Linked DNA regions of Medicago truncatula. Each later gene encodes a partner of the first gene's protein in a complex. Links are inferred from orthologs where the notes say so. Each region holds a gene or a part of one and is shown in the gene's direction. Other genes may lie near its edges.

Evidence for each region.
Region 2: SNF1-related protein kinase regulatory subunit gamma-1 (region 1) and SNF1-related protein kinase regulatory subunit beta-3 share a complex: the UniProt entries of both Arabidopsis thaliana proteins name them as parts of the probable heterotrimeric complex. The link is inferred for Medicago truncatula from reciprocal best matches to the Arabidopsis thaliana genes KING1 and AT2G28060.

The regions. Positions count from the first base shown.
Region 1 is NC_053045.1:50,747,409-50,754,409, reverse strand, and holds SNF1-related protein kinase regulatory subunit gamma-1, read left to right. Parts: upstream 1-2,732; coding exon 2,733-2,940; intron 2,941-3,221; coding exon 3,222-3,394; intron 3,395-3,613; coding exon 3,614-3,793; intron 3,794-3,892; coding exon 3,893-4,168; intron 4,169-4,387; coding exon 4,388-4,551; intron 4,552-4,811; coding exon 4,812-5,109; 3' UTR 5,110-5,441; downstream 5,442-7,001. UniProt on the Arabidopsis thaliana protein: Regulatory subunit of the probable trimeric SNF1-related protein kinase (SnRK) complex, which may play a role in a signal transduction cascade regulating gene expression and carbohydrate metabolism in higher plants.
Region 2 is NC_053043.1:46,814,689-46,821,689, forward strand, and holds the start of SNF1-related protein kinase regulatory subunit beta-3, read left to right. Parts: upstream 1-2,701; 5' UTR 2,702-2,837; intron 2,838-2,927; 5' UTR 2,928-3,016; intron 3,017-6,469; 5' UTR 6,470-6,498; coding exon 6,499-6,561; intron 6,562-6,637; coding exon 6,638-6,964; 3' UTR 6,965-7,001. UniProt on the Arabidopsis thaliana protein: Regulatory subunit of the probable trimeric SNF1-related protein kinase (SnRK) complex, which may play a role in a signal transduction cascade regulating gene expression and carbohydrate metabolism in higher plants.

The DNA.
Region 1 (7,001 bases):
TAGTTCGGAAAGTGGCATTCTCATAGAATGCGTTGATTTCCCACAATGGCTCACGTTGTTTGAAGGAAGAGATGCTAAGATCTCATGACTTGGAAAACATGAAAAGAAATCGACAAAATTATCCTGATTCTAAGTAAGGTTGATTGAAATGGTAAGATATTTCTTTCAGTTTAACAACCGATCTTTGATTCGATTTTAATACTTAAAATGTAGTAGTCTTCAATCACTTTTAGAGAGAGTTTTGTACCCGATTTGAGATATAAATATATGTAGCTGTGCGCAGATTTGACACTTGGTTCATAAAAAAAAGTCACGCTAACTGTATCCATGTAACACTTATTAAGAAAAAAAAAGAGTAAATTTTGTATCTTTCCTAAACAATATTAGTAGTCACGATATTGTCATGATGTTGTGGTGTTTGTGGCGACGATGCAACAACAAAGTGTGGGTGGGTGAACTTAATCCTATTACCGAGGTCGTCCAGCTTGCATGAGATGCTCTTATTCAATGGCAGTCAGTTCGCGTTATGAAAAATATGTAATGATGGAAAGTGCATCCGAATCATCGAAGTTCATTGTTATAATAAAAAACAATCCAAATCTTATTAAGTGTAATGTTGACAAAGCTTTTTTTGCTGATCAACGGTGCTTCGGTATTAGTATGTGAATTGGAATTCTCGAGGCCATTTTATTAAAGCTTTAACGAAATGGTAGGATGGTTTCCTCCCCGATAAAAGCAGAGGCATTAGACTGTGTGGTGCCATCTTTTAGCTTGATCAATTGGGACTATCAAATATGCAAATTGAGCTAGATTGTAAGTAAGTGGTAGACATCATTGCTGATAGACTAATAATCAATCTGAATTTGTTAATAGGGTTAATGGTGTTTTACCCCCCTGTAATATAAGTCATTTTTGGTTTTCCCTCCTGTAAAATATTTTTTTTGGTTTACCCCCTGTAAATTTTATTTTTTTTTGGAATACCCCCTAATAGGTCATAAAAAAACGAAAAAATTATGCAAAAAAAAAATAAAGTCGTTTTTTTATGACCTATTAGGGAGGTATTCCAATTTTTTTTTTTTTACAGGGGTGTAATATTACAAGGGGATAAAACACCATTAACCCTTGTTAATATTACGTTTTGATGTAGATCACTATTACGATATTTTCCAAATGTTAAGACAAGTTTTATTAAAAAAAAAACAAGTAAATTGTATTGCCCAAGTGTAAAGAAGGTGTCAAAATTGTATACCTGTCACCATATCTTTAATTTGAGTCTATCATATATTAAATTTAGGAAAATGTTAACCAATGTTCTTAAATATTAGTTAAGAATATAAAATTAAAAAGATTGTGAAAAAGTGAATATTCAACTTTTTGAAAATAAAAAAAAAGTTGTTGTTTCCAATAAAAAAATTCTATAATTAACTTCCTTAATTAGTGTCATAAGGTCACTGGTTAATAAGACTCTTACATTTATTATGTCGTCGATAGTTTAACTAATGTGCCAAAATTATAGTATGAGTTAATTTTTTGGTATGAGTTATTGTGGGTAAAAGAAAAAAAGCAAAACAATATGAATAATCATGGAAGGAGTGGTGGTCAAAGGCAGAGTCACGTATTGTTCCTATCCTGACCTGTCTCAATTTGAATTAAAAATTAAAAATAATGTTACTTGACTGTCTAAACTAGATAATGATATTATTTCTATCTTCAATATAATAGATTGACACGCCATCTCCATCTCCACATCACAGTGAGAGTGAGCGTTATCAGTGACTCGATATCAATAATTATGTATGTACTCAGCTCAAACAAATACAAGCATAACCTAACAAAGGGCCCTATTTCCAGATTGATTGGTCTTGTGCCTTTAAATTAATTTTGTATCTAAAACAATTTGTACCTTTCAATTTTACGGTCAAATTCAGGTTAATTATATAATTCCTATCCCAAATATTCCCGAATCAGTTTAAGTGAACATCTGAGTCATTAAGCTCAGTTTAGTGAAAGTGCCAAAGTGACAAAAGAATTATTATATTAATATAATATAATTAATTAAACTAATATAAGACCTAAGGTTTATTTTCATTTTTACTCCACCCAACTCACTTAAATATTAAGGATTATGTAAGTGGGACGTGACTCCCTTAAAATAAAAAATGTCATTAAAAAACTCAGAGTTGATACATGTAATCAATGAGGTGTAAGATATAAAAAGCAACCAATAATTATCATCTTTTAGAATAACAAATATTTTTTAGCATAATTGCTTTATCAAAATCAATAATCATGAATAGTTTATTACATACAAGTAGCATGATGAAATCAATTCTATGTGCTGCGCAAAACACTCTCCGGCTCATATTAGTGTAGCACACCCTTGTGGCCCATAGTAAAAACCGGATAAGAATGTGTTTCCATAATGAAATTACAAATTTGGATAAGTATACCGAATAGTATGGAGCACGTAACCATTCACGTTGACCACTGTAGTAAAATCAAACACAACATGTTACATCATCATAACCGTACACGCTTCCTTAATATAACCAAAATATGAAAATCAAAGGTGAATAATTCAGGTGTAGTGTAGGACACTAGTTTCAAATGTTTTAGTAGATTTTAGATCCCATTTTTCAGTTTATTATTATGGAACAATGTGTTGGGAGTAGTAAAGAGAAAAAGACAAAAACATAGAGATCTTATAATATTGTCATCATCATCAATTCATCATGCAGTTACACAGAGAGAGAAAAGAAGAGGGAGTAATGGCAATGGCTACAATGAGAGAGATGCCAAGGAGCCCTGAAGCCAAACTTGGGATGAGAGTTGAAGATCTATGGGATGTTCAAGAGGCACAATTAAGTCCTAATGACAAACTTAATGCTTGTTTTGAAAGCATACCTGTTTCTGCTTTTCCTTTGCCTGCTAAAAACCAAGGTAGTTTAGTGTCTATGTATGTATGTGTCTGATTTTGATTGAATAAAAGAAAAAGTGATTTTGATCACACCCAGATGAAAATTTATGTGCATGTTTGGTATCACGATAGTATATCAGAATCATGGTGGTTCACCGTGATTCTGACAAACCAACCAACTATGGTACCAAACATGCATGTGTGACCAATTGATGTGTTATTGTGTGTGTGTGTTATAATTTTTTTGTGGTGTGTTTTTATTGGGTTTGTTCTAAAAGTGTGAATTTTATGTTTGCTTGTATAGAAATTGAAATAAAATCAGATGCTACCTTGGCTGAAGCTGTGAAAATACTAGCACGTCACAATATTCTGAGTGCACCTGTTGTGGATGTTGATGCACCTGAAGATGCTACTTGGATTGATAGATACATCGGAATAGTTGAGTTTGCTGGAATTGTTGTATGGATTTTGCATCAGGTTAGATACATATGTCACTTGTCAATTCAATTATTTCACTTTCAGAATAAAAATGAGGAAAAGATCAAAAGACATATGAATCTAAAATTTACAATCAATTTTTGTACTTATATTTACAGTGTTTTCATATCTAAAAATGATATGATACCTGTTCTATTTAAGTGATTTTCTTAGATGCTTCAATTTCACACTAAGCTAATGTGATAATGTTGTTGACAGTCTGAGCCTCCATCCCCCAGGAGTCCATCCACTCCAACTAGCGCAAGTGCTATTGCAGCCGCAGCAAACGGAAATACTTTTGCCCGAGAACTCGAAGCCTTAGGCCTCGGATCTGCAGCGACAACTTCTGGAAACTTTTTTGAGGATCTTACTTCTTCTGAACTTTATAAGAACACGAAGGTTGTTTTGCGATGTCTAAATTTCTTTCAAGTGATTCTTCTTCCAGCTACTAATGAGTTTGTATTTAGTTATTTAAGTAGCTAACTTTTTCGCAAACAGGTTCAAGATATTTCAGGAACATTTCGATGGGCTCCGTTTCTTGCTTTGGAGAGATCAAACTCATTTCTAACCATGCTCTTGTTGCTTTCTAAGTACAAAATGAAGAGTGTTCCTGTGGTAGACTTGGGTTCTGGTACAATTGATAACATCATCACACAACCCGCCGTGATTCATATGTTGGCAGAATGTGCCGGACTTCAATGGTTCGAAAGTTGGGGAACCAAGGAACTATCTGATGTTGGTCTTCCCCTTGTGACACCAAAACAGATCATCAAGGTGTGTACTATATCATATAAGCTCTCATTGCATTGAACCTTGTCAAGTATGAATTCTGCATAACTCTAGTGCATACAGAGTAAAATGCTATCTTGCATTTCTTAAATGTGTGTGCATATATGGAAAATGCTTCAAAATAGTTATTTCATTTCCCCTTTCAAGTAAAGTAAACTTGTCGATCTTGATGAACTTGACAATGGATCGTTTCATTCTTTTCAGGTTTATGAGGATGAACCAGTCCTTCAAGCATTTAAAGAGATGAGGAAAAAGAGGGTTGGAGGGGTGCCTGTAATCAAAAGAGGTGGCACCACGGCAGTTGGTAATATAAGCTTGCGAGATGTTCAATTCTTGCTAACTGCTCCAGAAATCTATCATGATTATAGGTATGTCAGAGGTTTTAAATTGTGATTCGCAGTTGCGCCACAGTCCTTGATATTGCTGAGAAATGTTGTCAAATATGGCTGATGCGACCTCAATCACGGTCAGAGACATCAAAAACCTTGTGTCACGACCTGAACTGTGGACGCGGACCTTTTATTAAAACTGTGTTTAGACCGCATTGCTGATATCTTCTATCTTTCTTTCTTTAGTTGTTCTATCTGTTTCATTACTACATACTCATTGGATGTTCACATTTTGACAGAACTATTACAGTGAAGGACTTCCTGACCTCCGTTAGAAGCTACTTAGAGAAGAATAAAAACGCATTCCCAATGTCAAGTGAATTCATTACATGCAAAAGGGACTGTACAGTGAAAGAGTTGATTCAATTGCTTGACAAAGAGCAAATTCACAGGGTCTATGTTGTGGATGATGATGGGAACCTTGAAGGACTAATCACACTAAGAGATATCATCTCAAGGCTAGTACATGAACCCCACGGCTATTTTGGTGATTTCTTTGATGGTGTTCTCCCTCTACCTGCTAACAGCAGGGTTTAACAGACAAGGCATCAAGAAAGAATAACTTGCTCTTGCAGAGATTTTTTGTTTTTGTTTTTGTTTTTGAAATAATTCTTCAGAGGAAAAGTAAAAAATATGTATTTATCTTCAGGTTGAAGATGTGTACCTAGGTCTTTGTAATGTGTAGGCAGTTTGCAAGTTACTTGCACCTGTTTTAACTAATTTTAGAATGGGACTTTTATGTACTGTAAATTCTGGTGTAACCGTAAGTTCTGTCAAATTTTGGGTTGTTTTCGTTGTCTTCGATTCGTGTTTCTGTTCACCTTATTATGACTAGAGCGACACGTGTCTATCCACATTTTTCTTTTGTATTTTGTTTTTTTATGTATTATAAAATATGTTTACTTCAGTTTAATAAATTTATGTGTTTTTCACTTTAAAATATTCAACATAGTTAATTTTCAGATTTTCTATAATTTTGACATACTATTAAGATTTAAATTTGCAGAGAATTTAATTTATTAAGGTAATTTTGTCCAGCAAAATTCCGACCAAAAGTTACTCCCTCCGGTCCTATTTATAAGAGAATTTTAGGTCAACAAAAGTTGATGTATCTAGTTAAAAATTCAGTCCAAATACATTCACTTTTGTTGACCTAAATTTCTCTTATATATAGGACCGGAGGTAGTATTAGTTAACTTTCGAGTTCCTTTTATATACTACTAACGGAAAATGCTCACAAGTAATGGTATAAATTTTGAAATAGTACCTGGTGCATGAAAAGGCTTAAGTTGAATGGTAGTCTTTGTTGGTGGCTATGGAAACAGACAAAAGATAATATCCCAAGTCCCAACACGACAAAAAAGAGACCCATTATTCTCGGGGGTCGGCTTGGAACGTATCCCAATTGGAACTTGTGTTTTGCACTTGTTAGTTTGACGTAGGAAGTTGACAAAAACAAAGAAAATGAAAAGGTTGAAAACAAAGGGAAAATATAGGAAAACTACACTAGCGTACGGCGTACTCACATTGAAAACCAGTTACTTAGCGTGCTTAGCCAAAAGTGAAGTTTCATCACATGCTCAAATAAAGCAACTCTTCCAGTTTAGGCTGGCCAAGCCTAAAGTGTAAAGATGTTCAAGAGACAATTAGCATTTCTGTTTTGGTCATTTATGGACAGTGTAAGTGCAAAGTAATACCTGAATCAAAATATCTGTTGCCAGCAAACATGATAAGAATTTCAATAATTAAAAATCGAGTCAAATCGAAATGGAAGACTTTCATTCCAATTCACTAATGTTGTATGAACAATACCCAAAAATCATATAAATAATAACAAATAACATTTACAATTGATATAGTTTCAGCATGTGTCTGTCTGATCACCGATCATGGTTTCTCAACACATACATATGACAAAAGAGTATGGAGTATGCTTGTTAGAGAGCTGAATTCGAGGGACCAAAATAAACGCAAATCATCATAAGTTTGTTCGTCTTGCAGAATTATTGCATGGTAAGCCACAGCAAATTAGCATATCCACATAGCTGGAACTACTAATTACAAAACAACAAAAGGCACACGAACTATTGCAGCAAAAGACGCACAGAAGTGGCATCTAACAAAGGGGATGGTAGATGCTAGAAGATTGCAAGATCAGAAAACGTATAAACAATAACATCTTTTTTGCATGGGCACACAGCTTCCGACAATCAATATGACGAATAATTCGAATGCCATAATAACTGTTGATCTATTTCAATGATTCTTGGACAATCAACATCATTTTGACTAACATCTAAGCCTTTTCAAATGAGCAAATTTTAATGTTTTGAGTGGATCCAGTTTCTGGTACACCTATGTCTTATTTCCTCACTTCAATTATTATCATCTAAACATAAGATATACACAGACAACATGGTATCTGTCGG
Region 2 (7,001 bases), on another chromosome or scaffold:
TTGGTTTAAATGCTTACCGTTATAGAGTTTATCTAACCGTTGTTCTTAGGCTTTCATGGCCATTAATATCATTGATTTTCTATGAAAATGTGGCAACGGTAATGAAGAAATTGATTAAGCATTTAGCCACTTGCAAGATATATAAAGGACGCATGGAAACTATGGCCGGGGAGGAAGTGATCAAAAAACAAAAATCATGTTCATCGTGTTTGGCCTCGAGTGCATGGGTTCAGACATGCAGTAATGTAAACTTTGGGGAGCAAAACCGGATATTGGGTTGCACCGGAAATTTACTTTCAGGGCAGTGATTTTGGCCACGGCATAACAAAACTCTCTTCTTTCTTTCCTAACCATCCAAATTTTAATTTACTCTTAATATTTCCAACAGATTGTGTTGATTGTGCAGTTACAACCTCTATAGATTATTTTACTACATGTTTCGGTGTTGTGGTTATAGCCTGTGCTGCAACCTCCGAAATAACTTTGCTAAAAATCTTGTTTATGACAAATATGAGTTGAATCTAAACTAACAACTTGGTGAAAGCTCTTGTGAGTAGATTTAATTTTCCCTTATAGAATGGACATCCGTTCATACACAACAACAATTATATACTTCTCTTTTTCTAAAAAAAACACAATTCAACCGAGCTCGACTTATCAAATTTTGGGATCCAAAATATTTTTTTTTATATGTATAATACATGGCAAAATCCAACATATACTAATAAGGTGCAAATATAGAACCATAAAGATGGCCTGGTGGTAAACATATGTGTTGGCAACTAAGTTGTACCGGTTCAATGCGGCATTGAACCCAGTCCTTTATCATATTAATGTTTGGGTCTTTTCAAAGAATTTTACTATATATACCTCCCATAACTCAAATATTTCTATATACACCCCATCTTAAAAAAAAATGGGCCCCTACCGGCATGGGCCCTAGGCCGTCGCACTCGCGGCCTATGCCCTAGCGTCAGCCGTGCAATGCCTAAGAAGAGCCATATAACCTTTTTTTTCCTTTAATTAAGTTTTTTAGCATGATAAGCCTCAATATGAGTCAAATTTATCATGAATTTGAGGTCTATATATCTTCAATACTCTCTTCTTTTTTAAATTCAGTTCAACTCTCATCAATCTATTGGACTATGTATTTTTAAATAATAACATAATATAACTTTTAATTTTTTCTTATCTTTTTTTAGTCAAATTTATTATGGACTTCAGGTCTATATATCTTCAATACTCTCGTTCCCTTAAATTCGGTCCAACTCTCCTCAACCTATTGGTCTATGTATTTTTAAATAAAAGTACTATAACTTTTTTTCTTATATTTTAGGCAAAATTACACAATTCGTCCCTTAACTTAATTTCAGGTAATATTTTCATCCTTTATCTTATATATTTTTTCCGATTTTAATCTTTTATGTTACAATCAGGTAGCGCTTTAGTCAATTATCTTTTTCTTTATTCAACTTAATCATTTATATTACTCCCTCCGTCCCATAATAAATGAGTCATTTGCAACAAAAAAAAAATATTATCCCAAAAAATTGACTCATTTTACTTTTCAATAAAATAGTAATTACTTTTTTCAATTATAACTCTGATCAATTCTAATTTCATCACTCTCAATTCAATATATGCTACTTTGCATGTATGATAAGGAAGAATGCACGAATATTTGACAAAACACTCAAAACTATTTTTCTCTCTTTTTCACTTATAGATTTTTTCTTAGAGAAATGTTAACTTGTGCCCTAATGACATAGGATAAGAAATCAAAAGTAGAAATTAAATCTTAAAAATTGTGTATTTTTAATTTTGAAAGCTTTAAATTTTATCTTTATTTTTTGGTAGATAGACGAAATTGCAAAGCCATCATAAACACACAAACACAAAGTGGAGGTACCGGGGTTCGAACCCCGGTCATGACGTCCACTCTAATTATTTCGGTATTTTTGCCAATTGAGCTAGGACTTATGGGACTTTAATTTTATATTTTTAACTTGTGCATTTACCTTCTTAACTTGTACTCTTAGAGGACAAGTTAGCATGAACATTTTTTTTTTTTAATATGTGTGAAATTAACAAAAGACTCACTTAAGATGTGACGGAGAGAGTATAATCAGGTTAAAATGTTTTTATATATTTTGGTATATAAAAAAAAAATATAGTGTTAACATGTGCTTTTTGGGCACATGTTAAGAAACACAAAAGAAGAAATATTGTATAAAATTTTGTGCATTTAATTCATTAAAAAGTTAAAAATTAAATACAATACACACATTTCAATAAATAATTTTTATATTTGAATCATGAACTTGTGCCTTAACGCACAAGTTAGCATTAAAAAAAGGCTTAATTGTATTTTTGGACCCCTATCTTTTCAAAAGTTGCGGTTATGGACCCCTAACTAATTTAAATACAAAACAGCCCCCTATGTTTTGATTCTTTGACAGTTTTGGCCCCCAAGGCAAAAAAAAAAATAAAAAAAATGACACGTGGCACCTCACTTAGGGTGTCACGTCAGCGTTGATCGAGTCAACAATGGACTGGGGGTTCAAAACTGTCAAAGAATCAAAACATAGTGGGTTATTTTGTATTTAAATTAGTTAGGGGTCCATAATCGCAACTTATAGGATCCAAAAGTGCAATTAAGCTTTAAAAAAAATGTTATTATATTCGGGTAGTAACATGACATCTGTCTTTGTTGGAAAAAGGTTCGTAAGTTGTAACAGCCACATTTGAGTCTTTGACGACCTTTAAAAGCCAACTTTGCGTTGCGTGCTCTGCTTGTCTTCTTCTTCTTCACAGAATACGATGCACTCTTAGTTAGGGTTCGTTTTCTTCGTAAATGTTTTTTTTTTTTTTTTGCTTCATTGCTTCAAAATCAACGCTTCATAATCACTTTTTCTTTCCATTTGCAGCTCAGCACTTTCCATCGTCGATCACTTTCTCCCTTCTGTGTTTTGGTTCGGTCACTATCGAAATCTTAAGCAAGATAACTCAAGTCAAGGTAAGTTTTTTTTCTTCATTTTTGTGTTGAATTGTTATTAATCGGTTAGAAATTGTGTTTTATGTTATTGCATTTTGTTTATACCTGCATGCCCCCAAATTCAGTGTAAAAGGGTTTTGGGATTTATTGGTTTTAGTTTTTGTTTCTGCTTAGGAGCAATTTCAATTGGTATGTGTAGTTTGTTTTTGAGGTTCTTGTTATGTGGGTGTTGTCATTGTATTTCATTTGATGAGGGATTGTGTATGTTTGGTATGTGCCTTTGATTTGTGTTTGTGAATGCAACTCAAACAATTATCTAGGTTAACTTGTCCTAGGAAGATTTGCATATACTATCTCCGGTCTTAAATATAAAAGAAAGTTGAATCAACAAAAATCGATGTATCTAGTCCAAATTTGAACCAGATACAACAATTTTTGTTGACTCAACGTAGTTTTTTAGCTGGATTTTTATGGTAGCATTATTTATCAGTTTGACTTGAGTTTCAATAATAATGGCCCGTGAGAAAAATTGAATGTTGAGACCAGGGGGCAATGTAGTCAGGTTCAAGTTTTTAAGTGGAATCGGTAGGCTCGTAAAAGATCGTAAACACGAGGGTCATAGCACGGTCCGTAAGTAGGATTGGTAGGTTTTTGATAGAGTTGAGAGAAAAAACGGAAAATAGAGGAAAAACAGAGGAAACAAGCAAAAAAACAGAAAATAGAGTAAAAACAGAGGCAGCAGAGAAAAAACAGAGCAAACAGATGAAAACAAAAGAAAAATTAACCCGAGTAAAGTCGAAGCACGATTGAGGTGCCGTAACCAGCACTCGATCCTGACTACAATGCCAGGGGTGGATTTAGGTACCACTGGGCCAGCATTGTATTTCAATCTTATTCTTGTTGTAGGTTTGCTGTTGTGAGAAAATTGAGTCATTTGATGGATCTATGTTGTTTGACCGCTGTAGTCAGTTTGACGGTTGGTTTGTAGAAGAGTAGTCCATAGTGTAGTCTCATCAAAATTGCCGTGAAGTTATACTCTGATTAACTATAAAACATTGAGATTCTTGACATTGGTCGTTTTTTGATCCATCCGTGTCTACTTTCCTTCATGGTTCATGTTTTTCTTCGTGATATCTTGGTTATCGGATCTTACAGGACATAGTATAAGATTCATAATATAGGTTGTGTCATATCACATGCCATTATTCTTCCGAATCTTTCATCCTATATTTTGTGATTATCATGAATTTTATCAAGATTCTTGAGATTTCTCCTGTTTTAATGCAAGATCTTTATTCTCCTTCTATCTGTTTGGTAATCTGATACAAAACTTGCAAATTATTTATATTTCCAACTGCACAGATTTTTTATAACGAAGATGTATGTAGAAGTTTGGCAGTTTAATCATTGTACTGTGTTATTACCATATAAGCATTAAGCATTCAATTCAAATATTAAAAATATTGAAATTTGTTGAGGATCACATTTGGTGAAATGCTAACTTGTGATTTGTTTTGTACATTGAAGGATATGTTATCCTCTGTTGAGTTCTAACAGTGAGTGACTGATTATATAGCTACTTTGACTTCCACTTTACATGTATTATTAGGTTCTGAAAATGGTGGCCGTTGTATGAAGAATTATGAATATGTGATTTTATGTTTTAAAGATTAGAGTATTACCAGTAAATATCCTTTGAACATTTATAATCTTATAACTTTGTTCATTACTAAGATATCACACCCCTTCTTCCAAAATAAAAGATATCACCCATTACTTTAATGTGTAATCTATGCCTTGGATTTGTGTTTGTGAATGCAATTGAAGAAATTATGTAGGTTAAGTTGGCCTAGGAGGATTTGCATATACTACCTCTGGTCTAAAATATAAGGGAAAGTTGATGTATCTGGTCCAAATTTTGAACCTGATACATCAACTTTTGTTGACACAACCCAACTTTCTCTTATACTCCCTCTTGTCCTTTTTATAAGAGACATACGATTCAATAAAAGTCGATGTATTTGGTCCATATTATGAACCAAATACATCAACTTTTGTTGACCTACAAGTCTCTTATAAGAAGGACCAGAGGCAGTATTTAGGACATGATGGAGTAGTTTTTTAGCTGGATTTTTATGGTAGTATCATTTAGCAGTTTGACTCGAGTTTCACTCATAACAGCCATAAAAATTGAATTTTGAGACCAGGGGAGATTTAGGTACCACTGGGCCAATGTTGTATTTTAATTGCTGAATAGGCCCTCCGAGTTGCTCAACCTATCAGAACATATCTTCCAATAGGCTTGTTTTTTTGCTCATAGAAATGATCGGAAGTTATCTTCCGATGTGTGTTTTGAGGGGATTTTGCAGCAATGCAAGGGGGCCTGTAAAGCAATTATCTTCAACCATATTCTTATTGTAGGTTTCCTGTTGTGAGAAAATTGAATCTTTTGATGGGTCTATGTTGTTGGACGGCTATAGTCAGTTTTAGAGTGTGTTTGAAGGTAGTCCACAGTGTAATCTCGCCAAAATTGATGTGAAATTATAATCTGATTTTACTATAAAGACTTTAAATTCATGATATTGCTCGTTTGTTGAACCTTCCGTGTCTATTTTCTTTATGATATTGTGGCTACTGGTCATAGAAGACATGATATTAAGATTCTTAGTATAAGTTGTTTCACATCACATACCACCGTTTCGTCGAAATCTGTAATTTGTTATTATTATGAATCTTATCAAGATTCTTGAGATTTCTCCTGTTTTAATGTTAGATATTTATTCTCTTTCTATTAGTTTGGTAATCTGATGCAAAACTTGCAAGTTATTTATATCTTCAACTGCTCAGATTTGTAATACTAATAACAAAGATGCATGTCGAAGCTTGGGAGTTTGATCAATATACCATGTTATTACTGTATTAGCATTCAATACAACTTGTTTAAAATATTGAAATTTGTTGTGGATCATGTTCAGTGAAATGCTAACTTGTGATTTGTTTTGTGCACTGAAGGATATGTTATCCACTGTTGAGTCGTAGTTGTAATTGTGAGTGCCTGCCTGTGTTATATTATATAGCTACTTTGAGTTCCTCTTTGCATGTATTAGGCTCTGAAAATGATGGCAGATGTAATTTTGTATGAAGAATTATGATTATGAATCTGTTGTTTTATGTTTTAAAAGATTAGAGTGCTGCCTGTAAATATCCTTTGAACATTTATAATCTCGTAACTTTTATTACAAAGATATCATCCCTTACTTTTAAGTTGTTACCAGATTTTTCCTTTTTATGAATAAATTCGTGTTCCCATTACTTTGCTTTGTTGTGTAGTTTTTAATCAGATTAGGTGTACATAAGTTGATAGTATTAGTAATTTGTTGTCTCTTTAGATTAACCAATTGGAGTGTATCCGTTGTATAATAGATTTTTGTGTATTATTTGTTGATTATGCTAAATTGAAGTATCTTTCTTCAGGTTTCTTGGAATCTTAATTGGACTCATTGATGAATTCACAACTAGTGGTTGACTTGAATAGCAAGATGAATAATCCATATGCTGCAAACCCGGTAAGTAATTCATGTAATGAATAATAACATCTATTACTTGTCATTAGTAAAGCCTAAATTTACAATCTACACGCAGGGTGAAGCAACTGTCATGGGATTTGAAATTTTAAAAACATCTGACTCCGGTTACAATAATGCATACCCTTTGAATGAAGACGAGGCACGTGATCCACCTGAGATTCCTCCACAATTGCAAAACACCTTGGTCGGCTATCCTGCTAATGTCGATAGTTTTAGTTCTCTTCCATTGCCTCAGAACGCAATTCTAAATCATCTTTATATTGAGAATAGAGAGCCACAAAGATCTGTGGTGGCTTTGGGATACACTCATCGCTTTCGTACCAAATTTGTTACAGCAGTGCTCTACAAACCAGTTCAAAGAAGGGGAGCCACAAACATTTGATGTGCTGACTATAAACCTTCTCGAAAGACCAGTTTAA